Lepisosteus oculatus: one gene and its partner. The protein of the gene in region 2 interacts with the protein of the main gene of each other region in a biochemical or structural test. Links are inferred from orthologs where the notes say so. Each region holds a gene or a part of one and is shown on either strand. Other genes may lie near its edges.

Evidence for each region.
Region 1: of the proteins of claspin (region 2) and csnk1g1, one has a biochemical effect on the other in vitro, tested with the Homo sapiens proteins (2 studies listed by BioGRID). The link is inferred for Lepisosteus oculatus from reciprocal best matches to the Homo sapiens genes CLSPN and CSNK1G1.

What each region holds. Positions count from the first base shown.
Region 1 is NC_090700.1:60,265,193-60,272,588, forward strand, and holds the start of csnk1g1 (casein kinase I), read right to left. Parts: upstream 3,008-7,396; 5' UTR 2,829-3,007; intron 1-2,828.
Region 2 is NC_090706.1:162,265-170,049, reverse strand, and holds the start of claspin, read right to left. Parts: upstream 3,001-7,785; 5' UTR 2,544-3,000; coding exon 2,520-2,543; intron 1,593-2,519; coding exon 1,472-1,592; intron 1,254-1,471; coding exon 892-1,253; intron 403-891; coding exon 259-402; intron 11-258; coding exon 1-10. Other genes in the region: ago4 (protein argonaute-4), read left to right, coding at 4,288-4,306.

The sequences.
Region 1 (7,396 bases), on a different chromosome or scaffold from region 2:
AGACACTGATAAACATCACTTTCTCAACACTTCACACTGTGACCTTGGTGCTGCTTATTATACTGCAGGCAGCACAACTGTAGCTGCCTTGAAAAAGCACCTAAGGGGAAAAAAAGCAGCTGTATTGTGCCTTATGACAAGCGTGCATCACCCTAAAGCATGACCAAAAAGAAAACACAGCCGTTAAAGGGAAGCTAAGAACTAATCCAATCTCCAAAGCATGCTTTTTAAACATTTTGAATGCATCTATTTTGGAATCACTTCAGCATCTAAGAGGATTTCACAGCAAGAAAAGTACATGCTGTGTAAGGATCTTTTCATCTGCGCTGTGGAATTAGTATTTCGTCGTCTACCAGCCACGACACTGTACAGAACTTGAAATTAGCACTTACATTTTCGAAAGAAAACCCTTCACCAGATGACTATAAGACACTTCTCTCCGTTTCCAGGCACAGTATGTCAACTTTTTTTTTCCAGCTCAAACAAATGTCTCCACAATCCTGCCTTGTGAATTCCTCCCATCTCTTTTCCAAAGCCTGCACTAGTACTGGGCAACAGTTAGGACTGTGACACCACTCTGAACTGGCGAGACAATCACATGAGCTCGGAACAAATGTTAACACAGTATTTAAGCACAACACTCTAGGGAGTTTTCTTTTAATCTTTAAGCCACAAAAAGGAGTGATTTCTAGATCCCATGACCTATTTGCTATGTATACAACATAGAGCTACAACTTGCTCACATATCACAAAGCTACAAAAAGCCACTTGACACATTTCTCAGATGTTGACTGCTGTTTCACAAACTGACTGTGACAGATTTTAGACTGCTTAATAATGGGGAGACCAGATCAAGATACAATATGCACAGCTTAAAGGCAAAGGTCATTACTTACAAAAGCATATTTTGTTTTTCTTTCATAAGGTGACCATGTTAACCATTTTACTTCCCCACAAGCAGCTCTGCAATGCCAGTCAAACAGAAAATAAGACAGGATACAAAACGGATGGGGGATAGAACACAAAAGTTGTAATCAGTAGGATAATGAATATAAACCAAAACTTAAAATAAACAGTTCACATCGGAACCTTGTATTCAGTACATATTGTTTGGAGGATTGCTTGTAACTATATACACTGCTTGGAGCACAGGACCTATTTACAGTTATGAATAATCCGATTCAAACTGTCATGAGTTGATTTTTTTTTGCAGTACATTACCGCCATGGTTTTATTAGGGCTTTTACATGAATAAGCTCAATTATTACCGATCCAGGCACTGCAATACTGTTGACTACGAAGAGAACAAGCGAGGAGTGTGGGAGTGTGTTCGCCACGGTTATCCAAACTTGCCCTAAACCTCTGAAAACTGACTTCACAGTGGTCAGTGCTGGCTTAGTGTCTGTTTCATTAACATTTACGGTCCCAGAACACATCAGCAGTCTAAGGGAATAATAAAGATGACATCCGAATGAGTACGTACGGGCACATCGTGTGTCACAGGTGTTTGGTCTGTGACACACACTCTCATTCTTATAGCTTAGAGGTAGGGCTGTACAAATAGAAAAAAACCTTTCAGAAGCCACTATGCGACAGTCCAGAACACATGGGACTAGAGAGATGAGCTGAGTGTCATACAAGTAGCACAGAGCTCCCATGCTTTTGCATAATACGGGCCAAAGATCACACCAGATCCTAACACCTTAACAGCACAGCAGCAGTGCAGACAAATGGTTACTGGGTCACCAACGAGCCTACACGTACACTCTGTGAGGCTGCTTCGTCAGTTTACAAGCTGCCAATTAAATTATCAGATTTAATGAGCTTCTTAATTAAGTCTGATTATTTAATCGTGGTGATTAAATTATCATTAAAAGAAACCTTCTTGGGCTGCACAGGAACGTGCGGAAGCGTCTTCCCCCTGATCTGTTAAGACATTTCCCAGTACTCGCGACAGGCGGTTGGGGTGTCCTGGCGCTGCCACCCCAGTCGTGTCGTTCAGTTCATCCGGACACACAGCGCAGTCTGACGGGTGTACTGCTCGGACTTGCTCCGGACCAGGAAAAGGCCCCCGTACACACAGCGAAACGATGGTGGCGAACCCGGTAAGGGAAACCCGAAGTGATCCTGTATGTTCACATACTCGGAACTTGAAGAAAGCACCCATCGTGTCCGACAACTACAGTGTCAGCGCTGTTTCTAGCTCAAAGCCAACAATTCAACATGAACCGGACTACGCAGGAGACACCCGTCGCAAAGCTCACAGCTCAGCCCAGAGCTGCAACAGTAGAGCTCTGCTGGCAACAGTGAACTCTGGATACATCTGACGGTTTAAGGTTTCACGAACACAAAAGTGGAGAGAATGCTTTGTAAAAACACTCAACAAACAGTTAACAGAGAGTACGCACAACGTACCTCACTGCGTGTCTGGACTTCTAAACGGATCAAACTAATTTAAATAGCCTTTTCGTAATTAAATTCGATTTTTTTTTTAAAGATAAAGATACGGTTTCAGACAAAAGCTAAACACGCTTTGCTAGCACCCCTCGATCGATCGGATGATTAATAATGTGATAATCTCATTGGTAAGTCTTTTTTGAAAAAGAGATAAACCTAAAGATGTTTAACAGCCCTCCTTTAACTTTCACCTTTAACTGGCATTATCTTTTAACAAAGTATGAACTTGTCCACGATGCCACCTCCCTCCCGATTTTCAGAAACATTAATTAAATGTATTTCCTGGAGAGTGGCGAGACTGAGATCGCTAATAATAGTCATTTGTTTCTGTGAAAGGGGGGATAGGAAAGAAAATCATCATCCGGACTTACTTTCACGCAGATGTTGATTAGGTTTGATCCACTCAGTAACACGATCCCCCTAATCGGTGCCACTCGTGAAAGCGCTGAGACCCCTGCGTGTTAAAGCTTTTGTATTTTATCCTGAAGCTTTTTTTTCCCCTTTTTGCTCTGTCTCCTGAGCAGTGAAAGGCTCCTGCAGTTCCGGAAGTGCTGATCCAGCACCACCCGCCTAGGAACACAATCACTTCCGGGTAGTCGAGTACAACTCGGCAGCGCCGCCTGATGGATCGACGGCTTTTGAGTCTTTGTCAGCTGCAGGGTGCTGTCTGAAGCGAAGCAAGTTAGTCTGAATACAGGGGGGATCACATTCGAAACAAGTACCAGATAGTCTGCCAAGTCCAACAGCTTCGTAATGCAGAAAACAAAGTGTACTGTAGTATAGCACGCCCAGGATTTCAGAAGATTCAACTATACAAAAGCAATACACTATCCAACATCTAACACAATAACCTTATTTTTAAACTCATTTTACTTATATAAAGGAATGACTTAATATAGTAATAATATGATTCTCATTATATGTAACATTCATCCATTCATTCCCTTAACTGACAAGCAATGGGCGCAAGACAGGGTACACTCTGGGAGGGAAGGCAGTCCATTGTAGTAATAATATAAATCATTTTGATTTTGACAAAGAGCAATAGGCAAACAATAAAATAGGCAGTTTTGTTGAGAAGTGTGCATCATGATGGGATACAGATATATCTGTATAGTATAAATAATCTATATACAGGACAGACTAGATATCCTCTGCGAGGAACTACTACCTCCTTCCATTTTTTAAATCTCAGCTCAGCAGGATCATTCTGTATCGTCCTGACACGGACAGCTGCCTGTGCTGGCGTGTTTCTCTTGAAACAATAGCACACAAAACCATGTGGGGCTCTGCTTGCCTTTCGCACAGGGAGAGCGCTCATGGACACTTCTTACCCTCACTCGTGTGACTGAGATTAATTCCACCTAAGAGATTTTTTCCTGCCGTTTTTCTACGGCGGCAGCTGCCAGCATTGTTCACGGCAGGGCCCAGCTTTGATTTCCTGTTTTTCCACAGGGATCACCACCAGGGCTACGAAAGGAACTAGGAGGTTTAGGTCTGAGGTTAGTGATATAATCCAAGCTAAATAAATAAATGACAGTGCATATTTTTATATATACAGTATATAAATGGTGTACCATTGAACATCTATTTGGAGATTATAAGGTTAATGTAATACATCAGCAAGTCTTTAAAAGCCGTTCAGATATACCTGAAAATCTCCCAGACGAAGTCCACTCACCACACACCAGTGCTTGGAAGCAGTGCTTCTGGGCATTGTCACACACAGCCTAGCCAAGCAATGTAATGATCCGTTTCAATTAGCAAGAGTTAGAACTGACACAATCGTACAATCAAGCTCTTCAGGCCCTTTAACCCTTAGAATGAGCGTCTGGCAACAACCACTTTCTTCCCGAAGAAGGGTCCACAGCCGAAACATTGTGTTTCTTTTCTTCTCTTTTCAGCATAGAATTAACCTATTACTTGTTCCTTTGCAACCACTTTCTTTGGTTGCTTTGCTAAAAGGAAAGGGCAGACCTCTAGTGTCATAAATCTGAATTAGGTTACCAAAATGCAGTGCAACACCTGTCAGAGAAAACAGAAAACACTGTATATTTAACTCCTCTGATGCTCCAGTATGTGTTGCAGTAAGTACTGCTGATCTCCTCAGCAGACATGTCTTTTTCTTCACCAAAGACATGAAATGGTAAGAATAATAAATTAGTTTGTTTTATAGTGAGTAACAGAGGATATAAATGTAACAGGAAAGTGTGCAGCAGTCTCTGATGCTCATGGACTTTCTCTTTAATGAAGCGCAACGTTTCATTTGTCCCATGACAGGACAGACATGCAATCACAGGCAGAAGAGAAGATGATTCTGATGATCAGTGATGTACCAATTACTCTTAAGTAAAAGATAGAGGTACTGTAATGTTCCATATAAAAAATGGGAAGTTATCTGGTTCCTTCTAATATTCAGTGCATTCACTTTTACTACAGGAGTAAAGGAAAAGTTACAAATCAGCTCATTTATTCTGATGAACTACTTTGACTTTTTAAGACACCCTTTACACCACCCATGAAAAAAGACACTGGAGCAAAACAGACACAACATGCTGCAATACTGCAGCCGTGGCCTCTGTGGTAGAATCCAGGGATCTGCAGTAATACGTGGAAATAATTCACCCATTGTCTAAAAAGGTCTGCACCCGATAGGAATCCCTTCATTAACTCATTGCAAATCCCTTATCTAGCAGCATATTCAAATCAATGCTCACAATACTCATGTTAATATTGGTGAATTGTCCTGAATTTAAATTCATAGCACTTTTTATTGGAGGTCACTGCTGACGGCAATATGTCGAATATAGGATTCCCAAGTCAAAACTACCCTAATATAAATTGAGCCTTTGTGTATTTGGGAACAGAATTTTCGCAATTTCATTAACAAAATTCTAACAGCAGAGCACAACAGTAATGCAGTGGTTACAACAGATTAAAGTCCTGTGTCCTAAGATATACAGCCGAGATATTCTACCCACTGTGGTAAAATGTCTGGCTATTTCCTTACCCCAGAGGTGTAGCAGTTATCACCTCCAATCTTAACATTCACTTCAATCTTCCTCCAGCTGCAGGATGCCCTTAAGCACATAACTGTCTGCTCTCCTAGGCTCAATCAGCTCCAGTTCTATCCTTGTACACACCACTGTTCAGCCCAGCATCTCTAAAGATGTTACAGCAATTAAGGGTTTTGACTATAATGGCTGAACATCATTCAAGATCTTCTTTCTCTACATTAAGAGTCCTCTCCTAATCCTCTTTGAACACCTCCTCAGCTGATCTCATTTCACATTTCTTCGGCCTCAACAGTCCATCCTTCCTCTAATCCTCTGCACATTAAGCTCCGCCATAATCCAGTTATGATATCTTAAAACGTCACAATTACTGTACTTTGTGCATTCATTGCCCGTTATTGAGGAATATGTGCTTTTCAGTCAAATGTGCTGCTGGGTTATGTGTGGAGCCTACGTTAAAGAAAGCAAAGAATGTAGATGTGCACAGTAGGATTGCTATGGATTTCTCTGTGTAGAAGTAGTTACAGACAAAAAGCACAGGGCTCCCACTTTCTATCCATGAGTGCAAAATATGTATTAATTGCACACAATAATGCAGTGTATATATTGTACATGCAGAAACAGTTAAACCAAATTAAAGCAGTGAAACCTTTGCAAGTTATAATTATCCCACTCATAAATATTTATACTCATGTCTGTTGTTCACTTACCAATTAAACATTAGGACTGAAAGGAAATCTTTCAATTCAAAACAATGTTTGAGTGAAAGAATGTGTTATAACTGCAACTCGTTTTTTTTTTCTCTGCTGTGTAACAATACCATAACAGTCACAGTATTTTCAGTGTGGTAGGTTATGTTTCTCCTATCAAATCGTCACCACGCATAATTGCTTTCTTTTTGCTTGCATCTAAATACCAGATTCTAAAGGTCAAGAGAGTGCTAGAAAGAACTCTGCCATGGGGAAATACCATACGCAACACTAAGATGCCATTCATAATATCATGTATGATTTTTCTCACCATCTTATAAAAATCATATTGCTGCTCTGGAATCAGTCCACAGAAAAGATACCCAATGCGTTCCAGAGTCCTAATTCAAAGTCACTGATGAAGTCAATCCAAGGAATTTCTAAATCAAGAGTGTCATTTGAACCATGGGACACAAGCAGAAATCATGAAGAAACGCATTGTGTGTACCAGTGAAATCAGCAGGGATGTGCCTTTAAACAGGAAGTCAAAGGCCACTTTACAAAAAGGACTGTGGGAGTCTGAAAGTTGATAAGATGGCTCTTTAAAGAGATGCAGTTGGATGATGGTCTTGGATCAATTAGCCAAGAAATATTGTAGATGTGCTAGAGGATTCTCTCATTTGTAGCGATTCGTAGGTTCCATTAGGCTTGCTGATGCTTTAAAATGTTTGCTTTCATTGCCTCAGGATGTATTCCTTCACAGCAACACCCACAACCTTCCCACTGCATTTTAATTGTATTCTTCAGCCAGGCCCTGGACACTTGCGGCTTTATTGAGCTACTTAATCCCATTCGATCTGCAACCCCACCTGTGGCAGATGAAATCCCAGGTCCCATCTGCCTCGGCTTTCGCATTTTCAGACACCCCATTTACCGGGGAGTCCTAGAATGATGGCAACAAAAGATCACATCCCAATTTCAAAAGCAGGATATTCCAATAAATCTAAGAAAAATCATGAATGTAATTTGGCTTTTGACTGACTGCTTCCCTACTACAGTATAGCAATAATGTAGCATTGTAATTAAAATCTTCCTAGATTTCAGAAGAAATCTACTGTGCCAGAATACGAAAAAGAATCCCAGATGCACCAAACAGAAGCATGAGAATGTAGAGTTTTAATTGAGGGAGGTGAAGGATGGTGTTGGATTAATCTTTCGTCATCTTCGGTTTTTTTC
Region 2 (7,785 bases):
CGGCTCTCTCCTGGGGACAGGAAAAACACGTCTGTACACAAACCTCAATCTGCCGAGACAAAGTGCTCGAGACCCGCTTGGACAATAAAATGCTGGACCCTGCTTTACAGAAGAGCATTAGACACTTTTGCCAGCACTAAAGGACTCTGTGACTAAAGTCAAACGTGCAGAAGTGAAAAGAGGTTTAACTCCTCATTTCCCCCAACACAGCAGTGCAGACAAGAGTCCTGCAGTCGCCATGTCATGACCTCTGCTCACCTTATGCTTCTTCACCTTGTTTTTCATCGCTGCTCTGATGGCATCCAGGGACTCCTCCTCTTCCTCCCCCACACCTGTGTCAAACAGGTCACTGTCTCTGAGGAGGCAGCCACTGTCATTAAAGGAGGGGGGAGCAGTGGGCTCCTAGATTAGGGAGAGAGTGAAGTGGTTGCTGTCCTAATGTTGGCCTTGTTTAGCGAATCAGCCACACACCCCACCCAAACCTCACTGATGCCCCATCCAGTTAAATCCACATTCAAACTGTGCAGTCACAGAACCGATATAAGCTTACACATCACATGACACTCATTCAGAAGTATTTTAAAATAAGCACAAAAAGTTAACATAAAAACCTGTCCAACAATCAGTGACTAGACAATTTAAGAACATGCAGTGTATTTAAAATGTTTCTGTGGACCAGGATAAATTAAGACTGCAGAACAGCCAAAGACATTCAATATTTTTGTTAACTATGAAGTCTGCTGAGCAGCTCTCCCCTGACACAGCACTGACAGCCAACCGGGCAAGCAGGACAAAGCTGGCTGGAGCACTACCTGTCTGACGCAGGCACACCTGTGCTCGCCGCCCTTCCAGGCCCAGGGCTGCATCTTCCCAGCTGCGCCCTGTACGTACCTCTTTCCTCCTGTTCCTCTTCGCTCTCGGCGCAGCCTCTGCCCTCCTCTTGTCCTTCTCCCGGCAATGCTCGGACCTCTCCTCCCGCTTCACCGTCTCCCCAGCAGGGGACTCTCCCTGTGCCTTGCCGGCCTGCCTGTCCGTCTCCGCCTCGCTGTCCTCACTGTCCCAGGCGGCCTGCGCCACCCTCCTCGTCCGCTGTCCTGTCCTCCCGCCTCCTCCCTCCTGCCTCTCCTCCTCGCTGGACTCCGACAGGGCAAGAGCCTCGGCCGGCCCCCCTCCCTCCTCGGCCTCGCTGTCGCTGTCGCTCAGGGCCGTCCTGCCGCGCGGCTTCCTCTTCACAGCCACCTCGCCGTCCGAGTCTGGAACACAAGACGTCTTTGACACGGACCTTCCGAGGCGACGCACACGAGACACTCGCTTCCGAACGGTCCGGACCATCGTCAAACTGCTCAGTTATGAGACACAGGGTAACTGTACAAATCCCCCCTGCGGAGCAGGCAGAGCCTCAGGAGGTTCAGAGTGACCCCACTGCAGAGCCCTCAGAGCTCTGTGGCGTTATACCCCCGGCCCCGCTGACCTTGGTCCTCGCTGCTCTCAGCCATCGCTGGGGCGCCCCCCGTGGGCACAGGGGGGCTCAGGTCGCAGCTGCCCTTTCCGCTGTCGGAGTCGCTCTCCTCCACGGGAAGCACGTCCGGCGCCTGGAGAGAAAACGGGTGGCCGTTACCTACGGGCACGACGGCACAGCGCAGCGTCACCACAGACGGGTCCCGAGGACGTGGGGTAGCATCTGTATCGAGCATCGCTATAGTTAGACATGATTTACTGCAGATTGACTTCACTGCAATACATCAACAGGATGGCTTACAGTTACAACACCGCACAGCTGGAGAAACCTGAACACTGACCGGCTGGCGGTGACACAGCCGAGTTCGGCTACACAAGAAAGGTTATAATCGAGCACAGCCATTCCTCCCATCTGGCCGATGGGCTTACTGCCCCTGTGATCCCATGGAAACCGCCCTGGGGGTCTGCTCTGAGCTCTGCGAGTGGAGGACAGTGCCTCCAGCCGGCAGTGCGACACTCCAGAGAAGGAGCAGCTCATATCTGCAGCAACAGCTCGGTGGGCTAACAACACCCAGCGACTGGGCCCATGATCAGACCCGAGGTCCCGACTGCTCGGAAGAAACTCGCGTCGGGCCCTGTACAGTCTGACCGCCCTGGCAGACCCCGGACTGAAACGGCAGCGCACCAGCCGAGACACAGGCCGAGTGGCGAAGCAGGAGCCCCCGCTATGAACCCCGCTCGCACGTTGAACCACCGGACCGCGAGAGCGGAGCAGCGCGCCCCCCAGCGGCCGGGCCGGGAGCCAGCCGAGGCGGCAGAGAGCCGCTGCCACGAAAAGCTCAGCAACCAAAACAAACCGCAGACTTTCCTCCCGAGGCCCGGAGAACACACCCCGGGTCAGACGGCTCGGTTCCGCTGGCGGTGCTGCTGCGGCCCGTCCAGCCCGCCCGGACCCAGCCCTCTCGGAGGCCGGACAGCCGCACAGCAGCACACAGCCCCCCCAGAGCACGAACCGCGGGTCTTTACGAACACTTCGCCACCGTGACTAAAACAGCACAAACCTGCTGGGACACGGCCGCACTCATGGCGACGGGCTCTTTTCCGCTTACACTCGACAACACAGACTCATGAAAACGCACGCAAGGCCACGTCCACTTTCTCGCCCTCCTTGACAAACTATTTAAACAGTTAAAATAAACCAGATAAACAGATGAGATCTAATCCGCAACAGTAACAACTCGTAGCTGCCCGCCTGCTTCTCCCTCCCGCGCGCTCTCTCAGAAAGGACTTTCAACCGCTCGCGCGCCCAGGGCGCCATCCCGCCCCTCGCCCCCTCCTCTCCCTCCTGACTGGGCTGTCGGCCGTCAATCCCGCCTCGCACCCGCCCACCTCGGCAGACTTATTCCACCTCGGGGGCTGCCGACGCTCCCAGCCACGCCTCACGCAAGTGACGGACAGCAGCAGGGACCAATAGCGAGTCGCAGTGCACTCGGGGGTCTGATTGGAAAGCTTGGTTTTGTGTAGTTTTTCTTGGAATCACAAATACAGTAATGCTAAAGAACTGTGAATTAAATAAAAATATTCTCTTTCTAAAATAAAGCAAAAATAAGCAATCACCTTATTTTAAATAAAAATATAGATGTGAATTTTATCCCCCCCCTCACTTTGTATTGGGTAAGCTTAACGGTAGCTCACAATATTTATTGCAGTTTTGTTAAAACAATACTCAGCCCCTTTGATTCCGGATACTCTGAGACAAAACAGGATTTCAACGTTGCCCTGAAACTGAACCTCATTAAAATGTAAACAGCGCTGAAACTTTTAACTATTTGTACTAAATGACCACCGACTGCGTGACAATACGGTGGTTTTAAAGTAATTTATAAGAATAAAAAGCATGTCATATTTTTTCAATTTAATTTAAAAATCTTTTCTGGCAGACGCCCTTAATTTGTACATTACAATGAGGATTAAATAAATAAGAAGTGCAAATTATACTTTATAAACCTGCTGGTTTTACCTGAGCTGCTGTGGGACAGGGCTGCAGCTACAGGACGGCTGTTGCAGAGCAGAGCAAACAGCCACGTTAACAGGAGTAAAACAATACAGATCACTGACGAATGTGACGATTTCACAGACACCCACACATTTTGGAACCTGAATGAAAAGTATAAGCTGTAGCATGATACACTCCGTTTTCTCCCTGTGCTCCCCAGATGCATGTCGATATAAACGCGTTTTCTCCTCTGTGACTCCCCGGACCCCAGCACGCTGAGCAGCCCAGGCTCTGACAGAGCTCCGCACAAGAGATACTGTGAGCGCGGGACAAGGCTTTTCAACGGCGTTGGTAAAAACGGAGCTGAAATGCTGCCAGTTTACGGAGATGTCAGACCTTTCAATTAACTGCGCTGCCCCCTCTAGCGGCCGGTATGATAACTTCCTGCTTCCTCCCTGGTAGAATTATTTATAAAAACCGCGGGTAAACCGCTGACAGGCTAACCAAAGCCTCATCCAACGGGAGACGAATTCTCCATGTACTATGCTGCCCAAATAGATGTCGATAACCAAACCCCCGGGAGTCCACAGCCGCCTGTGCTGCCCGTCTCCGTGCGCTCAGTTTAAATCCCCGGACGGCGCAGGCGCACAGCAGGGGCAGCGCTCGGCGCGCAGGCGCACTGCCGCACTCCCCGGATCCGCTTTAAACCGAGCGGCGACAGCGGACCTCAGTTTCTCAGAGTGGACCCTCTCAGCTTCGCGATACCGCCCCCAATCTCAGTGTCGGTACGGAGCCGCCAGGCCGGGACAGAGACGGAGAGAGAGCCCTCGGCCATGGAAGCGCTCGGACCCGGTGAGAAGAGGCGCTGGCAGGCCCGGCAGGGCAGGAGCGGGGGGCCCGGGTCGCTCGCTCACTGGGGGCCGGGGATTGCGAGGCCTCCGCGGGCGATCGGGAAGACGGAAGGAAGAGCGAGGTCGGGAGGTTAACCACACGGCACGGGGTGTTGCCTGCAGGGCTCTGTCCCTCACGGAGGGCTGGTGTCCGGTGTGGCCGTGTGCCGCAGCCCCGGGTCGCGCTTGGAGCGAAACGTCAGGAGCGCCTTTCCGCGTCTTCCGCGTCTGTTGTTGTTGTCGTGCTCAGCCTGCGGGCTGCGGCGGGTCCGAGAGCGAAGGCGGCGGAGCTTCGTGTCGGTTTGCGAGAGCGGATTTCAGCTTCTCTGTCCGTCTGGTTTCGTCCACCACGGTGGAGCCCGGAGCCTCGGTCCCTGTGCTTGCAGCTGTCCCGGAGCTCTGCGTGATCCAGCTGTCGGGTGTCTGTCGCTCGCTGCCGGCCGGAGCGGTGGCACAGTCCGGTCTCTCTGCTCGCTGACCAGCACGTTTACGGCGTCTTTGCGGTGTCTGTATCGGGATGTGCAGCCTCACCGAAGCCCGAGTGGGGTTTAAACTACGGGAAAGTGCGGTTTATGTGCCTCTGCGTGGAATAATCCTCTTATTGATGTATGTAGAAATCCCCGATAATGTTAGGAAGAATTTTAAAAGTAGTTTACCTAATATATGTATCAATAAGTACGAAAGTGATTTAATAGCTTAAGTGTTTTAAATTGTTGTTTAACTCAAAGCTATTGTACCTTTTAAAATAAGTTATCCGGGGTAAAAAATGCTTCCCACATGGGAATTGTGGTACATAAAAGGGCAGTGGCTGGGATTCTGGTGTCCTGCAAATGTGTACAGTCGGTGTTTTTTCAGGATTTGCTTGTAATTCATAAGAAGGGCACTATCTGTGGACTAGTAACCCCTTGTCTTCTGGAGTAAAGATTCTTTCCTGGGCCAGGCAATGGAAGTATTATTATTATTCCTGTATATAGCAGACCCCTTCATTCAGTGTGAATGGCAAACTGGAAAGTTTACTTGTTAATACGAGGAACAGTCGTGCAGCTGCGTGTCCAGTCTGCTCCTCTCCTGACGGGCGAAGGCAGCCGTAGGGGTGAAACTGCACAGGCTCTGGGGATGCAGGGTGGTAACTTATGCACCTACTGGGTGCTTACAGCTTGTCTGCAGTGATTAAATGCAGTTGGTACGTTGCATTACTATTTTGAGAATTAAGCCCTTGTAGTTCAGTCCCCATGTCTGTATAGCATGCATCATCACAATGGGTCTTGGAGAGCTGGGGTGCTGCATCGCCCTGTAGACACAGAACAGCAGCAGCCCCCTTACGCAGCAGAGCAGGGGCAGAGAGAAACTGGGAACCAGTGGGGAGGTTAGGTTGTCTGAGCCCAGTTTGGGATTAACACCCTTACAGACAGCCTCGGGACCCATGTAGATTTTGGCTTAACTCTTGCTGAAGGGAGGGCACCTCATGCAAAGGTGATGAGGGGCTGAGGGGAAAGGGAGGCTGGCGCCTGGGATCTGGTAGAGAAGAGATGCATGGGGTCTGCTGGAAGAAGAGCATCGAGTCCAGGAGGAGGTGAAAGGCATATAAATAGTGAACATGAGAAACTCTGCGTCCTTCGCGTTGAGTGTGAAAGACCATGACAGGAGGTGAGGACCTGGGGAATGAGTGTAGAGAGGAGAGCGGAGACCCAGGACAGAATCCCAGGATCCACAGGGAGCGCACCGGTGGACAGAGCGAGTCCAGCCAGGGCTGTAGATCCCCACGGATCCGCAGGGAGCTCTCTGACCCGCCTGGACATGCCTTGATTTACAGGTTCATAGGACAGGGCTAGGCTGCTCTGTGTAGCCTTATTCTATGACCTGTGCGGTGTTGCTGCTGAGCTCTTGATATCCTCAGACATCCTGCAGCTCTTTCACTCTCGGTGTTGTCTTTTCCTTGTGGCAGGCAGGGCCTCTGTCCTGTCGCAAATTCGTCATTAATCCCATCTGCCTTGCAGGTGTTCTTAAACCCCTCTTTCCAGTCTGATTATTGACTGATCACTGCCAAGACATTGACTCCTCAGTGCAAAACACCTGTTCCCACCAGTACCTTCACACAGGTACATTCACGTGCTTTGATGGATATGTTGTTAAAAATCCATAAATGATGTTTTTCACTCATGAGCTGTGATAACATTAGGTTGGTGCTGTATTTATGAATAGAATGCTTTTGAAAGTTAAGGATGAAGTGTTCTAACCCTTCATGAACACAGTCTGAAGTGTCTTGCTTCTGTGCTGCTTTGCTGGCTGTTCTGTTCTTGATTGATTCTTCCACCTCTTGATTTGCACATCAAACTGGCCAAGTATTGAGTTGGATAATAGGGGATGGGAATACGTTTGGCCCAGTTTGAGTCCTGCTTCCACAGAATTATCATTTGAATGTTATCACGTCTAGAGTTTTCTGTACTGTAACCTTCTGTAGATTATACACCAGCATTGTAAATGACAAAGCGCTGCTCAACTACCACCCGAGAGCAGGGAGATGCTGCTGTAAGAGAGGTGAAAGTGTGGAAGAGCCAGGAGGCAGAGGAGCTGCCTCTCTGCCCGTCCGTTCAGGGAAACCAGACCCTGGATCATTCAGGGCAGCTGGGGCCCAGAGTATCAGGCCAGGTGGCCTTTGACCTGTAGATTGTTACAGTAAGACCAGGACCGCAGGTTAGCAATGTGGCTTCTTCCGGTGTTCGTCTGCCTTAGTTAAGGGTAAAGAACTGATTTTTTTCTACTTTGGGCAAACTGCCCATTGGACCCCTTTTCGAACGAAGACGCTGACCTGTTTCCTCTCTTCTAGATGGGTGGAATGGCCTCCTCTTGTTTGTAACGTTTCAAGTGATCTTAGTCTGGAGTCTTTGTGCAAACAGTCAGTCGGTGCTGCATCTCCTCTTGGGCCGGGTCTCCCTCCCTGTGTAATCCAGAGTGTGAGTCCAGGCCCATCTGCTCGGGCTGTTCCTCGCCCCACAGATGCGCCAGGCCCTTTGTCTGGGTTGTCTTGCAGGGGGTGGGCTAGTGGTGTGTGCTGTGGGAATTATTATTCAGTAATTGGGCGCTATTGTTCAGTAATTAGGCCAGTCCTTTGCGTGGTCTGGAGAGCAGTCTCTCTCTTTGTTTTCAATACTGGGGGACCCCCTTCCTGTTATACAGATGGAGTCTCTGTGTTTAGCACCCTTAGCTTCTGAACATTATGGAGAACACTAGTGTGGTTCACTCACTCTTCGGGTCTGCTGTCTTACTGCTTGTTCCAGAATTGACTTTCTGATGCAGGTGGAGTTAGTACAGTGTGGCTTTAGCGTGCCAGTTTATTTGTGTTTATGTTATGCCTTTCTTTCCAGTGGCTCTCAAAGCGCCTGATATATAGAAGGGGTTCCACTTCATCCATCAGTGAAGTGCAGCCCCACCTGGGTGACA